3 linked regions of the Callithrix jacchus genome follow. The protein of the gene in region 3 interacts with the protein of the main gene of each other region in a biochemical or structural test. Links are inferred from orthologs where the notes say so. Each region holds a gene or a part of one and is shown on either strand. Other genes may lie near its edges.

What was found.
Region 1: the proteins of YAP1 (region 3) and TRERF1 interact in a test that uses a peptide from one of them, tested with the Homo sapiens proteins (2 studies listed by BioGRID and IntAct, with this or other methods). The link is inferred for Callithrix jacchus from reciprocal best matches to the Homo sapiens genes YAP1 and TRERF1.
Region 2: the proteins of YAP1 (region 3) and NHERF2 form a complex in vitro, tested with the Homo sapiens proteins (2 studies listed by IntAct, with this or other methods). The link is inferred for Callithrix jacchus from reciprocal best matches to the Homo sapiens genes YAP1 and NHERF2.

Annotation. Positions count from the first base shown.
Region 1 is NC_133505.1:50,774,285-50,781,646, forward strand, and holds part of TRERF1 (transcriptional-regulating factor 1), read right to left. Parts: intron 5,982-7,362; coding exon 5,935-5,981; intron 5,035-5,934; coding exon 4,884-5,034; intron 3,447-4,883; coding exon 3,138-3,446; intron 1-3,137.
Region 2 is NC_133513.1:4,725,275-4,732,720, forward strand, and holds the start of NHERF2 (Na(+)/H(+) exchange regulatory cofactor NHE-RF2), read right to left. Parts: upstream 4,200-7,446; 5' UTR 4,082-4,199; coding exon 3,869-4,081; intron 1,220-3,868; coding exon 1,019-1,219; intron 1-1,018.
Region 3 is NC_133511.1:37,537,542-37,545,003, forward strand, and holds the start of YAP1 (transcriptional coactivator YAP1), read right to left. Parts: upstream 5,322-7,462; 5' UTR 4,938-5,321; coding exon 4,620-4,937; intron 1,744-4,619; coding exon 1,493-1,743; intron 1-1,492. UniProt on the Homo sapiens protein: Transcriptional regulator with dual roles as a coactivator and corepressor. Critical downstream regulatory target in the Hippo signaling pathway, crucial for organ size control and tumor suppression by restricting proliferation and promoting apoptosis.

The sequences.
Region 1 (7,362 bases), on a different chromosome or scaffold from region 3:
CAAGCCTAGCCAAGGCTCCTACGGCCAGCGACCCACACCGGGCTCTCCTGGGTCACTTTCAGCACCGGGGAGAGCCCGCGATGACCTCTAAGGCCCTTTCAGTGTGCTCACCTAAGCACGGGTCTGGTTGACCTCCCCCCTCACCACCCCTCACTATTGCTTCCAGAACTTGTAGCTTATTTGTAGCAAACTCTTCTCTGAGGTTGGCTTCCTGTCAGGAGAGTTAGTTTATTTTAATGGCAGCGGAACCAAGCATAGTCTGGAAGGAGGATCTGCCACATGGATACATATATACTAATAAGTAAACATATGCACGTCAACAGATGAGCAGGGCATGCCAAAGCCAAACCGGAAACAGACTCGGGTTGTGTGGTAGCATCAGCCCAGAAAAGTTGAGAGCTGCGTGTGGCTGCACAGGCGGTGTGGTTGGAAGGGGCCACGGGGATACCTGAGGGAAGAAGGTTCTAGACAGTCTGGTGTGCCCTCTCAGGCCCTGCAGGCCAGGGGCCAGTCAAAGCTGCAGGTCCTGGAGAGTCCTGAGCCCAGGGTGGCGCCTGGGTAGGAAGCAGCAGGGGGTGATGGGAAGGGCTGGCCACGGTCATGTGACCAGCTGCCTCCAGGCCATGTGACCTGCCCCATGGGCTCCTCTGCTCTGGTCTCCTCTCCCTCCAGAGCATCAAAGCTCTGGTCTCTGCTCTGGTCTCCTCTCCCTCCAGAGCGCCAAGGTTTTGGCGCCTTCTGTTTCTCCCTCAGCTTCCTTGCCTTCCATGGTGCCATCCTGGTCTCTAGGAGGGGGAGTCTAGGGAGGCAGAGGGTTCTAGGCTCCCAGCTCCAGAGTGAGGTTTCTAACCCCCTACCTCACCCCCAGGGGGCACTCCTTAGGCTAGCGCGCTCAACTGCCTCCTCTCTCCACCAGAGGGCTCCTCAGCGCCTGAGGTTGAGGCGGGAGAGGGGCTGAGAATGGGGGAAGGAGGCTGTTGCCCGGATAAGGAAAGCAGCCCTGAAGTTACAGCCTACCCTGTTTCTGGGTAACAGATGAGGTCATCTAAGAACATGTAGACCTCAAGCTATCTTAACGCAGCACTGCAATCCAGACCTCTGATTACAGGGCCAGAGGTCCCTTTGGGGCTCCCACTCCTCCAGCTTCTTGTCCTGTTACTGCAGCTCTAACCCTGGAATTTTTTTTGAGATGGAGTCTCTGTTGCCCAGCCTGGAGTGCAGTGGTGTGGTGTGATCTCACCTCACTGAAACCTCCGCCTCCCGGGTTCAAGCATTCTCTGCCTCAGCCTCCAGAGTAGCTGGGATTACAGGCGCCCACCACCATGCCCAGCTAATTTTTGTATTTTTAGTAGAGATGGGGCTTCACCATCTTGGCCAGTCTGGTCTTGAACTCCTGACCTGGTGATTCACCCGCCTCAGCCTCCCAAAGTGCTGGGATTACAGGTGTGAGTCACCACGCCTGGCCTAAACCTGGATTTTCTGATCCTCCAGGTAAAGGCTCTGAGCCACTGGGCCACAGAAGCCACCTAGAATGTCATGCCTGGTTGCCACTTGAGAGGAAGCATAGTGTTCCACCCCACCAAACTATCTGGACACTTTGAGGGTGAGACCAAGCACTGAAATCTTTAAAAAGCTGTCCACAGAGAAGGATGAGAACCACTGAGGAGCTGGCTAGAAGCCAAGCTGGGATGGGCACTCAGGGCTCTGTCCTGGATGTTTTAATTTCTTTACACCAAGTGCCAGGACCTTGTTCACAAGTATTCAGTCCCACCTACACGTATCCAATTCACAATCCCCCCAACCGACAGGTCTCTCTCACCCGTCCATTAAGTCAAGATCATCCTTTCCTTCCAAATCCTGCTCAGAACCCTAATGATGATCTCCTGAGCAAACTCCCTTGCCCCTCCTCGGTCCATAATGACTTTCGCCACCCAAGTATATTCCCATCCAGTCACACCTGCTGCATCCGTTTCTTGTCTGCCCCTGTCTTTTTCTCACCATCTTGAATGGGTGATGGTGGCAGGGGGTGTGCCTGGGACTCTGACCCCCATGTGATTATGAACCCTTAACTGAGAGTTCCCCAAGGAGGGAAATAGTGTTTCTCCCACCAAATCACGAACTCCCCTGGGCAAAGAGGGAGCTTGGATGTGTCATTTCATCTCTCTGCCTGTGGCTGGCCCCCCAAGTCCTGACAGCTTATGAGAATCTCCCCCCCCCCCCCAGTTCTCCATCAGTTTCTCTTCTTTTGAGGACTTGATATTAACACAGAGAATCATAAAGGTTTTTTTCTGGACTGTTCTAGTTCTATTAATTATCCTCTCTCCCTGTATCCTGGCCCAGCCTCACCCTATGCCCCCTGGACTCTCAGCAGCTGCCTATTCCTAAGGACAAATATGACCCCAACACACCACTCTGTGGGGAGATAGGTTTGATATTGTCAACCACACAGATCATAAATTCCCTAGGGTCCAAGAGACAGACAGACAGAGAGAGAGAGAGAGACAGACCACAGACAAAGAAACCCTTCCCAGAGCCAAGTTAAGCTCTTTGAGTGAAGCACTTAGGATTGGAGAAAGGAGAACAGTGAGTGAGAAAAACAAATCTCTTTGCTTTCCTGAGACTAGGGGTGGGTGGCTCTTAGTGGAACTACTTTGGGAACTTTAACAAATTAGGCTCTCCAGGGGATTTAAGCAGACAAAATAATAAGCATCTGGTAAGGCTGATTGTCAGAATGGATGCCAGGGCCATTGCGCGGAAGCCTGCCGCGCCAGTGTTTACCTCTTTGGTAGTGGATATGGGAGGTCTGGAGATCCTGGGGAAGGGGCCAAGGCCTGGGCAAGCTGCTTATTTTTTGGTATACGGTACTTCCGTATTTCAATAACGGCGATGATTGTCCCAGTGAGTCCCAGCTGAATGATCATCTCTGGTGATCTGGGAACACTTTAGGGTCTCTCAGAACCTAACCCAGGCCATTAGTCTGGCATCAAGGATGGGGTTCCCACCATGGCCACAGGGGTTCGGCCCTGAGAGGCCAAGCCATGTTGAGCTCAGGTCAGTGACTCTGGAAGGGCTGCCCCATCTCTAAGAAAGCAAAGGGATGTCCCCACCCAGGCAGGTGGGGCAGAGCAGCAACTCACAGCAGGCGTGCGGGGGGCAGCCCCTTGGGGTGAGTGTGGGGGAGAGAGGGTCATCCTCACGAGCACAGGCATCTCGTCGTCCGACATCGAGCTGGCTGGCTTGTCTCTGACGGAGGGGGCGGCAACGGTGCTGTTGGTGAACCCCTGAGAGCTGGGCTTGGGCGGGAGAAGCTTGACAGGGACAGACACAGGCATGACCATAGGCGTGAGGCTTTCTGCCTCGGGAGGGAGCTGTGGCGGCGGCGGAGGCGGAGGCGGAGGCGGCAGTGGCGGCTGGGGCTGAGGCGGCAGGACCTTCTCTCCTTCCTCCTACACAGACAATAAAGGCTTTGATCCTGGGCTGAGAGAAGCTCTCACAAAGGGGATGCACTTTGCTTTTCCTGAAGGATTCCAGGACATCAGGTATGGGTGATAACCACTGCAGGGCGATTTCCTTCCTGCAATCCTGAGTCCCTTGGATGGAGTGATGCCAGCTGATGGTAGAGGAGGCCGTGGCCTCCATTTTCTACAGCTAAAAAATCTTGACCATTTTATTACTTGTGTATTAGGCAATTTTTAAAAATTATGTGGTTGTCATTGCTTTTAAAGGAAAGGACACGAACTTGTCATCAGTCCAAAAAAGGTAGGATCTTGTGCAGTTTTTAATTCTGTGGGCCTTAGTTTATTCATTTGTCAAATGGAAGTAGGCATTCCATCCTAAATTTTATTCAGGTCAGGAAACCACACTGGAGATACAAAATATGTATTTTTTTGTTTTTTCGAGATGGAGTTTCACTCTCGTTGCCCAGGCTGGAGTGCAATGGCACAATCTTGGCTCATCGCAACCTCCACCTCCTGAGTTCAAGGGATTCTCTCACATCAGCCTTCTGAGTAGCTGGGATTACACGCATGCACCACCACGCCTGGCAATTTTTTTGTATTTTTAGTAGAGATGGGGTTTCTCCACGTTGGTCAGGCTGCTCTTGAACTCCCAACCTCGGGTGATCCACCTGCCTCAGCCTCCCAAAGTGCTGGGATTACAGGTGTGAGCCACCATGCCCGACCCAAAACATGTACTTTTAATAAGTAAAAACAAAAGCTTTTTTAAAAAACATAATCTGGCATGGCCAGGAGATGGAGTGATCTGGGTAATCAAAAATTCTGGTCAACAGAGATTTAATCCCATAGATTTAAATTAAAAGTAACAATATTCAAAGAATTCTGAGAATTTTTTTTTTTAATTTTACTCTAACTCTAAAACTTGTGGATAGTTTACTATCTGGGTACCCTACCTTGGATAATCTGGAGGGTATTTAAGGATCTTTGGATGTTGAGCCAAACACCACTGCATCAGTAAACAGAAAATTCTGGCAGAGAGCCTGCTGGTTGTATTAGCTCTCTCTGGCCGTTGACCACTAATCTGCAAGGCCCCAGTGGCCCCAGTCTTGGGTGTGTCAAGCAGCAGAAGTTTAAAAACAATATTGCATTTACATGTTTTCCTTTGCTGTCTTCTCTAGGAGGCAGAGAGAGAGGCTGGGATGCCCTAAAAGGCTTTCTAGCGCCTATTTTTGACCTTGCTCACTGTAACACTGGGGAAGTGGGGCTCTTTGACCTGGCTGGCTTCCAGCCTCAGAGCCTAAGCATTCCTGTCAAGGGAGGACGGTGTGTCGCCATGTCCCGCGTGGGGCTCACATCACTCTCTGACAGCAGCAAAGCAAAGCAAGCAGCACATGGCCTAGAAAGGACCAGGGATTGGCTCCTGCTAACCTGTTTGAGGTTGGGGGAGGCCCTCATTCCCCCATGGGACCGCATGTGGCCGTTCAGGGCAGGCAGGTTCTTGAACTCCTTCAGGCAGATGGAGCACGTCAGCTTGTTCTTGGCATCAAACTGCTCCCCAAACACTCCTTTGGGTTGGCCACTGCTCAAGGGTAGAGCCAAATGGAGAGGACACATATGACGAGGAACGGAAGAGAAACAGTGACTTGCCACAGGACCTCATACCCACCACAGACCCATTTCATTCATCCAGTGATCCCATTGTCCACGGCACCATTTGCATCCCCCCCATGCCCTTTAGAGAACTAAGCCCAATTTACAGATGAAAAACTGAGGCTCAGCATGGGAAAAGACCTTCTCAAAGTCATGCAAGAACTGAACAAAATGTCCTTCTTCATGCCAGGCCTTTAGGCAATGGATTTTGACTTGGGAACTATAGCTCATTACCCTTCCAGGGTCAGCCTGAGCCCAGCTCCTCCAAAAGCCTCCCTGCTGGAGACACTGGTGCAAGTTCCCAAGGCAGCCTCTGCATTGCACACTTCAGCAGTTTATCAGGTTTGGCTAAATCTTCAGTTACCATGCCCATGAGATGAGGAAGCAAGTCTGTACTATTCACTGCTGCATTCTCAAAGCCTAGCTCTATGCTTGGCACACAGTAGGCACTTAATAAATACTGAATGAATGCAGAGTGGACAGAACATGGTCTTTGCAGTCAATCCCAGCATTGTTACTTGATGTTTAACCTTAAGCTCTCTGAGCCTCAGTTTTCTCATTTGTAAAGTAACAATAATAATAGCTAAGAATTATTGAGTGCTTACTGAGTATAGGCACATCATAATTATACCCACCCTCTTAGGTTACTCTACTACACAGAATGCATAGGGCTTAGCACATAGCATGCACTCAAACACAACAGCTGTTGTGTATTATTTCTACACAATTTTTTGAGGATTTAACTTTGAATTTAGAAATGAATCATGAGAGACACCCCAGAAAATCCTCCCAGTCTCCCAAAATACCAACAAAGCTCCACTCAACCTACCTTGACTCAGGGGAAACTGGCTGGGCTCTCCCATCAGGTAGGTGCATCTAGTTTTGAGCCAAACAGGAAACCGAAAAAAAGAAGAGAGAGAGAGAAAAAAAACGTGTTCTGAAGGGAGGAGTCCTGGAGTAGTGGGAACACCAGGTACCCTTCCAGGACTCTTTCTGCCCGCTGCCTCGTGCTGTCCCTGTGCATATCCACTCACACCCTCACTCTTCTGCATCTGACTTCTGTCCCTGAATTGCTCTTTGATTTGGGACCACCACCCCACTCCTGGAGCTGCTGCCAGCCACAGCAAGCCCACCAGGATGCAGCCCCCCACCGTGTTATTTCCTGTTCTCTCAGGGTACACACTCCCTGCACAGACAGGCTCCATTCCCATAAGGGGCACAGAAGAAAGCTGGAAAACACAGCATCATACCAGGAGACCTCCTGATGGCATTCCTTTTATTTTTTGGAGTCAGGGTCTTGCTCTGTGACCCAGACTGCAATGCAGTAGCATGATCGTGGCTCACTGCAGCCTCTACTACCTGGGCTCAAGCAATCCTCCTGCCTTAGCCTCCAAAGTAGCTGGAACTACAGGTATGTGCTACTACACCCAGCTAAATTATTTATTTTTTTGTGGAGGCTAAATTCTTTATTTATTTATTTATTTTTTATAGCTATGTTGCTTAGGCTGGTCTCCAACTCCTGAGCTCAAGCCATCCTCCCACCTTGGCCTTCCAAAGTGCTGGGATTACAAGTGTAAGCCACCATACACGGCCCTAGAATTCTTCTTAAAAAGACTTAGCCAAATCATCTCATTCTTATAGCTACAAAGGCTCTCAGTTACTACTGGGTCTGAGCCCCAGACAAAACAAGGTCAAGGGGAAGTTCATCTCTGGCCTTCAGTCTCCATCAGAACCTTTTCTCCCCCCAACCAGTTCCCATTTGGGGTCGCCTCCTCCTCAGACACTGCTGACATGTGACTGTAGCACTTGGAATAAGCCAAGGCATGAAAAGTGCCCAGCACGTAGTAGGCTGTTTCTGATCAAATACTTTTAGGAACAAATCAAGGTTAATCATGGTACACAGGCTGAATCAGCCTGAATTCATGTTTTGTTTGCCTAGAGTGTTTTAAAAACTTCTTAGAATGCTATGGGATTGGGCATCTGCTTCTAGTCCACAGCCACCACCACTCCCTAATGCCTCATATCAGACTGGTTTTGCTTTCACAGTCTAGACCATGTGGGAAGCTAAGATTTTTCATCTCTGCAGTCACACATGGTATCCCCTTTGGGAGACTCACAATGCATACTACCATATTAGAGTCCACAAAAAGTCCTGCAGTACAGCAACCTGTTTCACTTTTGGGAGGCTGAAGTGGGAGGATCGCTTGAGGCCAGGAGTTCAAGAGCAGCCTGGGAAACGTAGGAAGACCTGTCTCTA
Region 2 (7,446 bases), on a different chromosome or scaffold from region 3:
CCCGAGCACTGCCATAGTCTGCCCTCAAGCCCCAGGAACCGAAACAGGTCCCACAGGACCTATGGCCAGGCCTGTGCCCAGGCTCGGCTCCCCACAGGGAATGCCGTCTCCCTGCGAAGATAGCCCCCGGGGCTCAGCTCCAGGCGCAGCTAGCTCCAGGCGAAATGTTTGGGAAAGGGAAAAAGTCAACGTGCAGATCCCCTGCTCCCCCAGAAACTCCAGATCCCACACCTCCGACCCAGGCCCAGGTTCTCAAAGTGGGGCCTGGGAAACCCGTGGATTCAATTCCCTGAAGGGATTTCTTTGAGAGCATGTCAGGATGTCCAGGAAGGCAGGACAGACAGCTTCAGGCTGTGCCTACTGGCCCCCAGGCCTACCAGGCTGCCCCTTCCAGCGGCCACCTAGCCAGAGGTGGAGCAGGCCGAGCCTCAACTTTTCTGGGTCTCCTCGCTGGGAGCAGGTGCAGGGGAAGGAGGAAGTGCTGCCCAGCAGGGCTCCAGAAGGAACAACAGACAGGATCCGTGGGCCTCCCTTATATCTAGGGGGAGGGTGGGCTCACCCTGGAGCCTCCTGGACCCCTTCCTCAAGGCGCTGCCTGCAGAGGTGGCCGGCCCCCTCTCAGGCCTTCCCAGCATGCAGAAGCCACGGACGACTCCCAACACAGACACAGAGCTGGGCACACAGAGACCTGGAATGCCTCTTCCCAGGGTTCCTCGAGCCAACAGGCTGGGGGTTGGGGAGGCGGTGGCTTGTCAGAGTGACCCCTCCATAGTGCAGTGGCTCCGGAGCATCCCGGAGAAGAGGAACGGATCAGGATGCTCTGACTCCTCCCAGTTTAGAACACAGGCTGAGGATGGAAAGAGTGGCCCCCAGTAGCCAACAAGATGGTGTCTGGGGCAGAAAAGGAGCCCCAAAAGGCAGAAGAGACCAAGATTCTGGAGGGGACCAGAGGCAAGATTGTCGTCGAGAGAGGCTCTGGGAGAGGCTAGGGCGGTCCCTGTGGCCCAGCCCACCATACCTTCTTGCTGGCATCAGAGCTGCGGCCGCCCACGTGTGCCCAGTCTGGCTTTGGCTCCCAGGGGTCGTGGGCGGGCGGGAGCCCTCGCTGGGCCATCTCCTCAGTGCAGGTCAGCTGCCGCCGGCGCAGCTCCTCATCCGTCTCCTGGTCCACCACCAGTAGCCGGGTCTGCCCCTCCACAGCCTTGATCCTTTGCACCACCTGGGACAAATGGGTGGTAGGAGTGGGTCAGAGGCCTGCACTCCGGTCCGCACACGGGCAGTGCCACCGCTCTGGGCTGGCCTGGGCATGCGGACAGGCAGCTGGTCTGCATGGGTGGGTGGCTGCACCAAGAGGCCTGCCAGCCCCGCCCCCCACCCCCAGACTCCAGCGGCTCCCTCCCTCTGCCTCTGGGCTCTGGACACTAAAGCCCAGGCTGCCAGGGCTTCAGGGTCCTCCCAGGGCCTTGCTCTTAGCCCTGGGTCTTCTCCAGAGGGGTCAGGAAGGGGCTGCAGGGTACGGCAGCTGGGGAGTCCTGTCCGGAAGTGACAAAGATGGTGCCCAGCTGAGCTTCAGCTTTTCCGTCTTCTCGTGCATGCGTATGCGTGCATCCGTTTCAAAGATTGTATTTCCCTCCGCGTTCGAGGAAGACGAGGGTCTTCCTGGGCCCCAGTTTGGGTGTATCTATGCCCATTCCTGTCACTCTCTGCCACACAGTGCGGGAGTCTAAACCCCTGACCCCAAGCCTTGCATCTGCCTGCAGACCATGACCATGAGCCCATTCCCGTGGGACCTGCGGAGATGGAAGAGCTGGGCTCCTGGCTCAAGGACCCACACATAGCCCGGGAAGCAGGCAGGACTGAGCTGCAGCCGTCGAGGGGGAGGGGCAGGTGCACCTGTGGACAGCTGTGGCATGGCTGTCGGCGTGTGCGTGCAGGTGCCTGTGAAGTATCTGGACCACACAGGGGGCCAGCATGCACCCTCAGAGAGAAAGCAGTGCCCACTGGGCCGTGGGGAGGAGGAGGGGCAGCCCCACTTCCACCTGCTGCCTGTGGGAGGGTAGACAGGGCTCCCTACCAGCTGCCGGGCTCAGCAGGGGTGGTGAACAGATACGAGGGGCCGAGACAGGCCCATCTTCCCACTGGTCCTCCTCTCTCCCCATGAAGAGTGAGGCAAAAGGAACCCAGGGCCCAGCTGTTTCTTGACTATGTGTCCCAGACCAGTCACCCCAAATCACCAGCATCACTTTCTTCTCCTGTCCCATGAGGCTGTAACTGCCCCTCTTGCCCTCCTGGGGCAGAGGGGAGGCTCCGCCATGACCTGTGTGTCCAGTCCTTGAGACCAGCACCCCAGGGGCCTTGGATAAGCAGATGTTCCCAGGGAAAAGGTGGCAGTGACTGTCCCCTCACCCTGCCAGCCACACCTTCGGTCCCTCAGGCCCAGGCCCCCAGCCTGATCCCCACCTTCTTCAGCAAACAACCTTACACAACAGACACTCTGGATGGGAGGCAGGGGCAAGCTGCAGAGGAATGGACAGGTACTGGGTGAACAGGAGACCAGCTCCAGGCCTAGCCATGAGCCAACCTGCTATCTCTTTTTTTATTTGAGGAGTCTCATTCTGTTCCCGAGTCATCTCAGCTCACTGCAATCTCTGCCTCCTTGGTTCAAGCGATTCTCCTGCCTCAGCCTCCCAAGTAGCTGGGACTATAGGCGTGCACCACCACGTCCGGCTACGTTTTTGTATTTGTAGGAGAGTCAGAGTTTCGCCCTGTTAGCCAGGATGGTCTCCATCTCCTGAAATCATGATCTGCCCGCCTTGAGCTCCCAAAGTGCTGGGATTACAGGTGTGAACCACCTCGCCCGGCCCCAACCTACTAATCTCTAGGATCCAGGACCAGCCATGTAGACAGGATTTGCTGGTGCTGTGAGGGACAGGGGACGTGGAGAACAAAGGGTGTGTGGACACTGGACTCCAACCAGGGTCTGGAGTGAGTCCCTGGCCTGTGGGAGACAGACAGACTCAGGGGTCAGAACCCACAGAGAAAAGGCTCTGTTCGCATTGGCCAGGAGGCAGGAGGCTTCAGCCAATGTCCCGAGCCAAGCTAAGCAGCCTCTTAGGAGGGGCAGTGCCTTTGGAGCTAAGGAATGTGATTGCCACCAATGGCCAACTCCCACCTGTCCCAGACACACCTGGCTGGGACACACAAGAGTATGGACACACAGACTCACCAGCCTGCAGACACACAGTGACAAGCATACAGGCCAGGCATGCAGACACACAGGCTCACAGACACACTCATGTTCACACACAGAGTCCAGCGCTCACACGACCAGGAGTCTAAACCTGTACACACACACACACACGTGTGCAGACCTGGATACACGCACACTCCGGCACACACACAGGTGCAGACACACTGATGCCCTTAGCAGTCCCCTCCTGGGTACACACAGGCAGGCGCGTGCACACATGGCTGACCCCAGAGGGACCTGCACACACACACCCAGCTGTGTTCACACACACACGTGTACACACACACCCAGGCAAAAGCACCCAGGTCTCCACCTTCCTTGAGGGGCCCCAGGCTGCCTGACACCCTCCTTCATGGCACACTGAGGCCAAAAGGCAACCAAACGGCGAAGCCAACGGCCAGGAGCCGCAGTGCGGGCCCCTCCCTGCCAGGATACACCCCCACCCCGTGCAAGGCTGAGCTTCCTGCGCCGGGACTGGGAAGGCGCCGGGCCACTGCCTCCCCGCAACGTCCGCGTCCTCCCCGCGGGACCCCCCTCGGGCCCCGTGCGACCCCCGCCCACCCCAGGGAGAAGTGCTCGTGGAGGCGTGGGCGGACCGGGGCAAGCTCGGGCCCCCACCTGGTGGTGCGTCTCGCTCTCCACGTTGACGCCGTTGACCTCGACCAGGCGGTCCCCAGCGCGCAGCGCGGCGGCCTCGGCGGGGGAACCGGGCTCCACGCGCCGGATGAACTGCCCGCGGCGGCCCTTCTCGCCGTGCAGGTGGAAGCCGTAGCCCTGCTCGCCGCGCACCAGGCGGCACAGACGCGGCCGCAGCGGCTCCGGCGCGGCCATGGCGCCCGCTGCCCACCGGCCGCCCGCAGGCAGGGGTGCAGGGGAGCTCGGGGGCTGCGGCGGCGGCTTCGGCAGCTCCCGCTCGGCTCCCGTCGCCTCGGGCTCCGGCTCGGGCTCCGGCTCGGGCTGCGGCACCGCCCCCGCGCCCGCCCCTTCCCCGCCCCCGCCCCCGCCGTCCGGCCGCCCCCGCCCCCGTCCCAGCCATCCCGGACAGGCCCCTGCCTCTGCGCCCTGACAGTCCAAGGGGGTGCGGGGGGAGGCGGCAGGGCCAGGGGACCCCTCTGTCTCGCCCCTACTCTGGACGGCCGCCCGGGTGCCAGCGCCTCTGCCTTCTATTCCAGGAACATTTACTGGAAACCTACTGTATGCGCAGCACCGAGGCAGGTCTTGAGGTGGGTGACGGGTTGGAAAAAGGGTCTCCAGGCCAAAGGACTCCCCCCACAAAGGGGCCAAAGGGTAAGAACGAGGGCCACGGCCCTCCACCCTCCCCAGGTAGCCCTCCCCGACCCCCTTGCCTGTCTCCTCTAGGCTGTGCCTGATCCGGATCCCTCCTGCAGCCAGAGCTGCCCTGGGACAGGGCAGCGGCTCAGGAGGGCCCAGGAGGCAAAAAGAGGGGTTTAAAAGTGACACGCAGCAGCCCCTTTCTGCACCCTGGGGGCCGGTGACTGGGAGACTCCCTGATCTACCCACCGTGTTTCGGCTATCTGCACCAAGTCCATTCCTGAGCCCTCCCCCCATTATTTCCCTTGGCTGGGCCCCCCTCACTTGTGTCCCAGCCCACCCCAGGCCTGGACTGTGACTTTACAGTCACAGGCTCGGATGAGGGTAGGGGAAGGAGTCTCAAAGGTCTCTGCTACCCGCTCCTGACATGGGATACACTGCACTGAAGTGTCTGAGCTCTGAGTTCTGAGTGGTGGCCACTGTCCACAGGCAGACCCCTGTAGGCCTCCCCTCCCCTGGCCCACAGCCTCCACCTGAAGCAGGAGTGTCCCCCTTCCCCAACAGAACAATCACCATCACAACAAAATCATTTATGGCTGAGTGCATTTACCTGGAACAACCCTAGGGGTCTGGCCACTTTACAGATCTGGAAACTGAGGTCTGAAGAGGGAAGAGACCCACAAAGTTTCCTCAGCTCCATTTGGGCCCAGGGATGTGAGATTCAGAGTCCATGCTCTTCCCCACCCAGCTCTTCCTCAGTCTCCAATGTGGGAAGGCAGCTGAGTCCAGGCACAGCCCCAGCTTGCCCTCCTCCCCAGTCCAGCCAGGCCCCCTACACATACCTGGTTCCCAGGAGTTAGGCACAGCCAGCCCAGGCAATTCCCCATGTGGGCAGGAGAAGCAGGCTTGGTGCAGTCCTCCTCTCCCTCTCCTCTCTCCAGTGCCCTCAGCCTAGGCTCCCCTGCCCCCGCCCAAGCACAGGACCCGCCTCTGGGCAGCCTCCTGGGCCATGCCCCCCTGGGTGCCCACATCCCGGCAGCTGCCCCTAAAAGCCACTTAGGCTGAGGCCCCATGGCTGCTCCCTACCCCCACCCCTGCAATTCCTGGCTGAGGCTGCCTCAGGCTCCCGCCCGGCTGGCCACCTCCATCTGTCTGTCTGCATGTCCAGGGGCTGCCTGTCCGGCCTGTGGCTGGCCTCCCTGGACACAGCCTGGTGCTGCCACCCTTGGAGCCTGTGAGGGTGGCTGTGGGCAGTGTGAGCCACCACGCACCCCACACACCACTGCTGGTGGGGCTTAGGGGGTCATCCCACATCAACCAGGGCCACCCAAAACCTGACAGGCTGTAGCTTCAAGGCCACACCAGAGTCAGGAAGGTGGCTGGATGGGAGCCCCCAGCAGGGTAAGGAGTGGGGGTAAGGGGGCTTGCAGACCTTTCCCCCTAGCTGGGGCAGACTCCTGATCAGCCTCGGGCATACATCAGCCTTCCCTGGCCCAGGACTCAGCTGATTCCTCCTCCCAGTGACTGAAGATGGGATGGGGGGCTGGGAGCAGTGGCTCACACCTGTAATCCCAGCACTTTGGGAGGCTGAGGCAAGTGGATCACCTAAGGTCAAGAGTTCAAGACCAGCCTGGCCAACATGGCAAAACCCCATCTCTACTAAAAAGACAAAAAAATTTAGCCATGGTGGCACACACCTGTAATCCCAGCTACTAGGGAGGTTGAGGCAGAAGAATCACTTGAACCCAGGAGGCAGAGGTTGCAGTGAGTCAAGATGGTGCCACTGGACTCCAGCCTCGGTGACAGCGAGACTCTCAGAAAAACAAACAAACAAAAAAACCCAAGGCTGGTGCGGTGGTTCTTACCCGCAATTCCAGAACTTTGGGAGGCGGAGGCGGGTGGATCACCTGACGTTAGGGGTTCGAGGTCAGCCTGGCAAACATGGTGAAACCCCATCTCTACTAAAAATACAAAAATTAGCCAGGTGGGTTGGTGGGTGCCTGTAATCCCAGCTACTCAGGACACTGAGACATGAGAATCACTTGCACCAGGAGGTGGAGGTTACGGTGAGCCAAGATCATGCTACTGCACTCCAGCCTGGAAGACAGAGTGAGACTCCATCTCAAATAATAAGAATGATTTTTTTTTTTTTTTTTTTGAGACGGAGTTTGGCTCGTTACCCAGGCTGGAGTGCAATGGCGCCATCTCGGCTCACCGCAACCTCCGCCTCCTGGGTTCAGGCAATTCTCCTGCCTCAGCCTCCCGAGTAGCTGGGATTACAGGCACGCGCCACCATGCCCAGCTAATTTTTTGATTTTTAGTAGAGACGGGGTTTCACCATGTTGACCAGGAGGGTCTCGACCTCTTGACCTCGTGATCCACCCGCCTCGGCCTCCCAAAGTGCTGGGATTACAGGCTTGAGCCACCGCGCCCGGCCTAATAATGATTTTTAAAAAGATAGGATAGGGAGCAGTGCGATGGAGGGAAGGGCCACCAGGGATGGGAGGTCACAACCGGGGCCAGGAACCAAGGAAGTATCACTGGACACACTGCCACTACAAAGTAACAAAAGGAGTCCCCAAAGCCAAGAAGGAGCTGAGAAGGGCTGAGGAAGGTAACAGAGTTGCAAAGGGCAGGGCAACAAAGGAAGTGGGCCTGGCAAAGGGGCAGCGGGCAGCGGGCAGCGGGATGAGTTGAGGCAGTCAGAGAGGAACTGGAGGTCACAATTTCAGATGAGGTGCAGAGTCCTTGAGAGGCAACAATGAGTCCGGGGGGCCTGGAGGAACAGGAGAGGAAGGGTGACTCAGCAGCTCTGGGTGGGGGGGGGGGGGGGAATCCTCCCAGGCCTCTTCTCCAGCCAGCCCCCGGAAGCTCTCAGCCCTGCTCCCAGGCTGACCTCAGCCCTCACGGGCGCTGCGCTAGAG
Region 3 (7,462 bases):
AAAGAAAAAGTTGCAGGAAATGGGGCAAAAAAACTGTAGGAACTTTTTCATCATCAAACCTTCCCCTCTGCTCTTCTAGAAGTTTGTCACAAAACTTTCTATCTTACATTACAAAGTAGCAACACACTCTGGAAGACGATCACTATAAAACACATATTAGGATTCACATAACAAAACGCCATTATGATATTATCGGATATAATAAATAAATGTTCCATTTGCCTCAGGAGAAGACTATCAAGACAGATTTGAACCAAAACAAACTTACACTGTTTTTTACTTTATTATCTCAACCTAATTAAACACTATTAAATGAGCATTTTTAAAGACATCAACTTCCATCTGTAATAGTTTTAAACAACATTTTGCATATACTTGATCCAAACAAAACAGAAAAAAGTTGAGGTCCTACCTGTAATTTCAAAATTAGAGGAGAGAGAATTCTATTTTGGTCTTTTCAACCTAGTGCACTTTTGCCATTTTGTTAAAAACAAAAAGACTGATAAAAAATAAACAACCCAATGGTCATGTTTCTGTTTTCCCAGAGAGGAGAGTTTCTGTTTTGAAGATCTACTAGCTTGAAAGACATTTACCACTGAGGGACTGCATATAAAACCTAAAAATCTGGGCCGGGCACGGTGAATCACGCCTATAATCCCAGCACTTTGGGAGGCCGAGGCGGGTGGATCATGAGGTCAAGAGATCGAGACCATCCTGGTTAACATGGTGAAACCCCGTCTCTACTAAAAATACAAAAAATTAGCTGGGCATGGTGGCACGCGCCTGTAATCCCAACTACTCAGGAGGCTGAGGCAGGAGAATTGCCTGAACCCAGGAGGCAGAGGCTGCGGTGAGCCGAGATCGCTCCATTGCACTCCAGCCTGGGTAACAAGAGCGAAACTCCATCTCAAAAAAAAAAAAAAAATCTAAAAATCTGTATTTCCCATTACATTTTTTGGGGAAAAATTGGTAAGTTACATCAAGCTTCAGTTGAAGTGCTTATCATTTCACAATTTAAAATACTGTAAAATTAGACTCCCCAAAAAGCCCTACTTATTTTGTAGTTTTCTACCAATAAAATATTTATTTAAAAAGATACAAGTAGCACCATACATATTCCATAAGGTGCTGCTAGTCCTGTAATTTCCAGAATTTGAAAATCTTCATGGTATTCTTTCTGTTTAGTGCTAGGCTAATTAACAGGAGTTTGGCACAAGCTCAAAATGAGAAATACCAAACTTCCACAAATGAAAAGATTATAGAGAGGTTCAGAACCAAGACTCAATAAAGCTTTCAAAATATTATCCATGCTAACAAACGTATTTAGATCATACCAAACTAAAAAACATATATGGAAGATATAACAGAGCTTAACATAAATATTAAGTAAAACATAAAAACAAATAATATTCTATATCTTGACACTGCTTTACTATCTTTTCCAATACATATTTTTCTTAGATAATTGTCTCCCACCATTATTTTCACTTACTTTAAGAAGTATCTTTGACCAGAAGATGTCTTTGCCATCTCCCAACCTGCTGGCAGAGGTACATCATCAGGTATCTCAAAAGAAGACTGTCGAAGATGCTGCGCTGTGGGTGTAGCTGCTGGGCCAGACACTACTCCAGTGGGGGTCAGTGTCCCAGGAGAAACAGCTCCCAACTGCAGAGAAGCTGGAGAGGAATGAGCTCGAACATGCTGTGGAGTCAGGGCTCCTGCAGTGCCTGCATCAGTACTGGCCTATTAGGAATATTAACATGAAAAATTAAGAAAAAAAAAAAAACTTTTTTGAGAGTCCCTTTAAATTTCCCAGTCAGTGCTTAATTGCAGCCAAATGTCTAAGAACCAAAGGAAAATTTCAACATTTAATATTTGACACCAGAGAGCACAGGTTTTCAAATGGATACTTTTAATATATAATTTTAATATAAACTTTATAAATATTTGTAGTTTTATTGATGAGCAGTCCATCTAATGAATTTCCACCTACTATACACTAGACATGTAAAGGCAACTAGTACTGAAACAAATAAAACATTCCAAAAATAATAGTAAATTTTAAAACCTAATTTTTAAAAGGTCAATGCAATATGGGTGCTTTTCCAAGTCCTAAAATATTCTAAGGATAAACACAACACAAATAATATGCATGTTTTACTAGGTTTTAGGTAATTCATTTTTTTTCCCTAGGTCAAGGCCAAGTAAGAACAAACCCTTGTCATTTTTTCCCATCATAAAATGCCAACAATAAAGAAATCGTAACAAATTACACAATTTGTAATGAAATCGACAAACTTGAACTGCCCAAATGTTCTTAAAAGCCATCTACAATGAACATGATGGAAAAAAAACTGTATCTTTGTATGTAGAAGATAAAGATGTTATGAGTCCAATTATAACTTAATAACTGACACACATCCACAACTCTTTATGAGCAGAAACAATTCCGCACTCCAAGTTGGCTAGTGTGACACTGAACAAATACCTTAACTTCCATATGCCTGTTTTCTCGTTTGTAAAACAGTTTTCATGACAAAAATGGATGTACATAAAACTTAGTCACCAGTTTGTGAATAATAGTATTTGCAACCTAGATTTGTTCTACTCCTAATCTTGCATATCTAAATTTTAAAAATTAGAATTAGAGTTTGATTACCAAAAAGTTAAGAATTTCCTAGATTCACAAAGGTAAGGAAACTGGAAGGACTTAGTAGAGTCATATCCATGCCTTTAAGTGATGGACCTTTCTTTGTTTCCCATCAGAAAAAGTGTGATTTAGGAAATCGTTAGCAGAAATAAAAGTCGAATTTACAGATGCACAACACTTAAAAACTTATTAAAAATAAAACTATAATACTCTGAATTTTAGAACTGCTGGATAGAAATTCACGTAAAAATTACTAGAAGAAAAAGTACACTTTCCAGTTATGATTCTTTGTGGCTGATAGATGCCACAAAATGGGGGATTCAATCTATGTCTATTATACTTTGAAAATACACTGTCTGTAAGGTGCATGCCAACATGTATTTACCCATAATGAGTCCATAAACCCACTTTCAGGGGTATGAGAAAAAAGCACACCTAAGTCTACTTCTGACAAATTGAAGTGTTTAGGCAAGAAGCTAAATTGTTTTTCCTTCCTCCTCCTTAACCCGGGTTTTTGTCATCAGGTTAAGTGAGCTTTTCTGAGTTCCAAAACCCGACAGGAGAATATACAACAGGCCTGCAAATAGGAGAGGGAATGGGAGTGGGGGCGGTAACTCTTTCCACTCAAGTTACAGTCCGAGTCGGCTAACTACACTGCAGTATTTGGAAAATCTATTAACTTTTGGGCAAAGTTCCTATGCTCAAGTTTAGCCTCAAGCAAGTTCTTTCTAAAAAAAAAGGAAAGAAAAAGAACCCTAAACAAATCCACGGGGACCTATCGGAATGTTAACACTTTCATTATAAATAGTTTCACTTCTATGCTGAATCAAGTTGGCAAAATGATCGAACGTTGTGTATGTGGAAAAGCAGCCATGTTCATATCCGCAATAAGAATTATAAAGCAATGGCGATTCCAGAATTAGTCATCGCTTCCCAAACATTAACTTTTAATCACAGTTGAACTAGGCAGGACTTGGCCTATGGGTCAACCTGCAGTGTATTATCAAAGGCTTGTGTTAAAACGTCGGTACAGTAAAGTGCAACTCAGTTCCTGCGCAACGTACAGATGTGGCTAATTTAAAAGCGTTTCAGCCGACTGTAAATAATAGTCTACAATTGGGAAACCAACACGCAACCTACTAAGTTTGATAAGAGCGAGCCGGCCCAAGTTCCAAGACACAAGGGAAGCACAGGGGGGTGTGAAAGAACTCCATAAACAACTTCCAGGAAAGTCTGGGCAGGGAAAGCCCGAAACCTGTGTTCTAAAAGCGCTTGAGCCTCGAAGAAAATAAAAGCTTACGGGAGGGGGAGGGGAAACGGGGGGGGGAAGAGCGAGCAAAAAAACTAAATGGACCGGTTCAACCCCCACCCCTAATCAACATTGGAAAACAAGAGAACAATTATTTGACTCCCCAGGAGACTGAAGTGGACCGAGAGGCCCCAAAGGAAAGGGGCCCAGGGCTCAACTTCAGAAACTCGGCCGCCGCTGGCAACTCACCCACACACAAATGCCAGAGGCCCCCCTCCCCCTTTCCCGGCCCGGCCCCGGCGGGAGCGAAGTTGCGGAGCGCGCGGAGGCGCGCGCATTGTGCAAGCCCACCGCGGCCCAGGCCCGGCTCTCCCCACCCCCTTCCTTCCTCCCCACACCCCCGCCACTCCCGCCAACCTCCCGGGAACCCCGGGAAGAAAGAAAGGAAGGAAGAGGGAAAGCACGCCCGCCGGGGCTGCAACCGCAGAGAGAAACTCAGAGGGGAAAAACAAATCTCAGCCCCGGACTCTGGGAAGAGTAGGGAGCCGGTCACCGCAGCCAAGGGGACGCCTCCAGTTCCTCCACTTCGCCGCGAGACCCCCACCCAAGACCTCCCGCAACCCCCCCTCCCCTGGCTAGAGCTGGCGGCCGCGACTCCCGAGCGCCCCCCAGCCTGGGGCCCGCCCGACGGGGAAGCTGGGAGAGGGGCGGCGAGGTTACCTGTCGGGAGTGGGATTTAGGCTCAGGAGGCTTGAAGAAGGAGTCGGGCAGCTTCCGGAGCCTCATGGGCACTGTCTGGGGCACGTTGGCCGTCTTGGGGTTCATGACGGCGTTGAAGAGCGCCTCCAAGTCGGTCTCTGAGTCCCCGCGGACGTGCACGATCTGATGCCCGGCGGGGGGTGCCTGTGACGCCGCCTGGGTCGCCGCGGGTGCCGGCTGCCCGGGTGCGGACGACGGGCCCTGCCCTTGAGGCTGCGCAGGCGGCTGCCCTTGGCCCTGGGGGGCCGCTTGAGGCGGCGGCTGCTGCCCAGGATCCATGGCTTCTGCCTCCCCCGATGCGCACCCCCGGACCAGGCGAGCGAAGGCTCCGCCCGGACGCCCCGGCTCCACGGGCCGAGGTGGAGAAACGGCGAGGGCTGCGGGCTGGGCGGTGGGAGCGGCGCTCTCCTAGCTCTCAGGGCCGGGGGACTGTGCTGCGGCCCCGCATCCCCTGCGCCCCGGCTCCACTGGTCTGGTGGCTGCGCCTCGGGAGGGGCTGCGAGGGACTCGGACCTGCGGCGCCTGAGAACTTTTTCCCTCCAACTCCCTTGACTGAGGCCGGACGGCTGGTTGCCTTTCCCCTCCTCCCCGTTTCTCTTTTATTTCCTTTTCTTGTTCCTTCCTTCCTCCCTTTCTTTTCCCTGGCGGCGGCTGCGCCCGACTGAGACAGAAACTCGCCTCAGACGCCAAAACTAAAGTTGGGAGAAGCGCCCGCCCGCGCCGCCGCGGCCCCGCCTCCCGGCTCTTCCTTCCTCTGCGCGCCCGCCCGCACCGCGGCCCAGTCTGCCGCGCAGGGAAACTTTTCGCTGCAAGTTGCTACATTCCTGCACACTCCCGGCCCGCGGCGCCGCTCCCGGCCGCACGTGACTCGCCCACCCGGGCCCAGTCCGCCCTCCGCTCGCGCTCTGCCGGGCAGGGGCCCGGAGCGTGCCCTGTGTTCCGCCTCGCGAACCACAAACGCTGAGTCCAATCTGGGTCCAAACTGTAGTCTCTGCGGAGAAGGCGGCCGCCCTTGGCCGCAGGAAGTCCTTCCGCCCCGCTCGGCCCCTTCTTCGCCCGGGCTCGGGAAAGGCGCTTCCAGCTCGCCGGGACCTGCGAAAGGGCCAAGGTCGAAAGAAGTGGAGAGAGGATGTGCGAACCCACCTCCACGCGTTACCCCGGTTCGACCGAGCGGAGCGCCAGTGCGGGCTTCAAGCCGGGAGCATAGCTTGGAGTTAAAATAGATACTGTGAGGCGGCGCTAATGTTAATAAAGGTCCTTTTTTTTTTTCAGCATTAACTTTATTTTGTAATTCTGTTTCATTTATGTGTTGGTATGCAAAAACTCACTTGGAAAGGATAAATGGTTACTGAAATTGAAGCTTTGAGACTGGGTCTGTGACTCCCTGTAACTTATTAAAAGAAACAAAAACACTGCGTATTTTTCTCAGTATTTTTCTAAATACTGAAATCACATCAACTTTTTTAGTACTCGAATTTGCAGCATAGTCACTGGAAGCCTCAACCCAAAAAATCAGTGCTTCTTCAGGTACAAGCATTCATTCCTCTTTACCTGTCTTTCATCCTCTGGGAGCTGGGTCCTACCCCTGCTATCCCTGTGCCTGGCCCAACAGTGGACTCTGTGAATGTGGACTGAATAAGAAATGAATGGGCAAGGAGGTCACCGCAGGCACGCGATGTGCAAGGAGCTCATTGGAAACCACTCAAAAACAATGGAAATGTGTGTTTTAAGTCACACTCTCGGGTTTTTTTTTAAAGCATCTTTATTGGCTGGTCCAAGTGCAGTGGTGTTTACAACTAATTGATCGCAACCAGTTACAGATTTCTTTGTTCCTTCTCCACTCCCACTGCTTCACTTGACTAGCCTCAAGAAAAAGAAAAAAAAAGTCTTTATTGAGATGTAATTCATATACCATAAAATGTTAAGTAATATTTGTACATATTTGTATATTTAAGCATTGAATTTTTTTTAGTATATTCATAGGATTGTGCAACATCAGTCTAAATTTAAATGCTCTAGCCCATTCTAAGGAAATGTGACTTTCTTGTTTTAATGATTTGTCTACAATGCTAGTGAAAGAGGTATAAAGAGGATTAAGCAAGGAAAAAGTCCGTGAGCAAAAAGATAATCTCTTCCTCCAGCCAGAACATGCCCGGTAGAATTCTGAAGGATCCGTATCACCTGGTGTGGTTGGGCTGGGCCAGGGTAGCAGGTTTCAGACACTCAAAATTCTAACAGAAGATTCCAGTCAACTACTCTGAACCCCCAGTTTCCTGTCTGAAAAAAGGGATCAGTGTAAATGACACCGATGACTGCTTCCCGGATTTGTTTCTACTTCCAAATGTCAAGTGCATTTAATGACAAATCTCTAGGTTCTGGAGTTACAGAGTTTTGAGTTCAGGTCCCAGTTCTGCCATTTACTAGCTGTGAGATTTTGGACAACTTACTTAATTCCTGTTCTTTAATATTAGCATTGGGGTAATAACACCTACATAGTTGTTGAGGCATTAAATGAGTCAGTGGATATAAAGTATTTAGCCCAGTTTGGGACATGCAGTGTCCTGCACCAGTGAGTTCTGCATCAGTGTCAGTGGTCATTGTCCTGTGTTCACAGATTACTTCACGGATAGTGACATAGCCTTTCCTTGCAGCAGCTCTCTCTTTCTAAGCACAGCCTTAGGGACCCTTTTGGCAGTCCCTTCCTCTCTTATCCAATAATAAGTCTACACAAACAAAACCTTTAGGCAGAAACTATGCATTAAAAACTTTGCCTGAAAGAAAACTTTAGGAACCAAAGTGGGCCG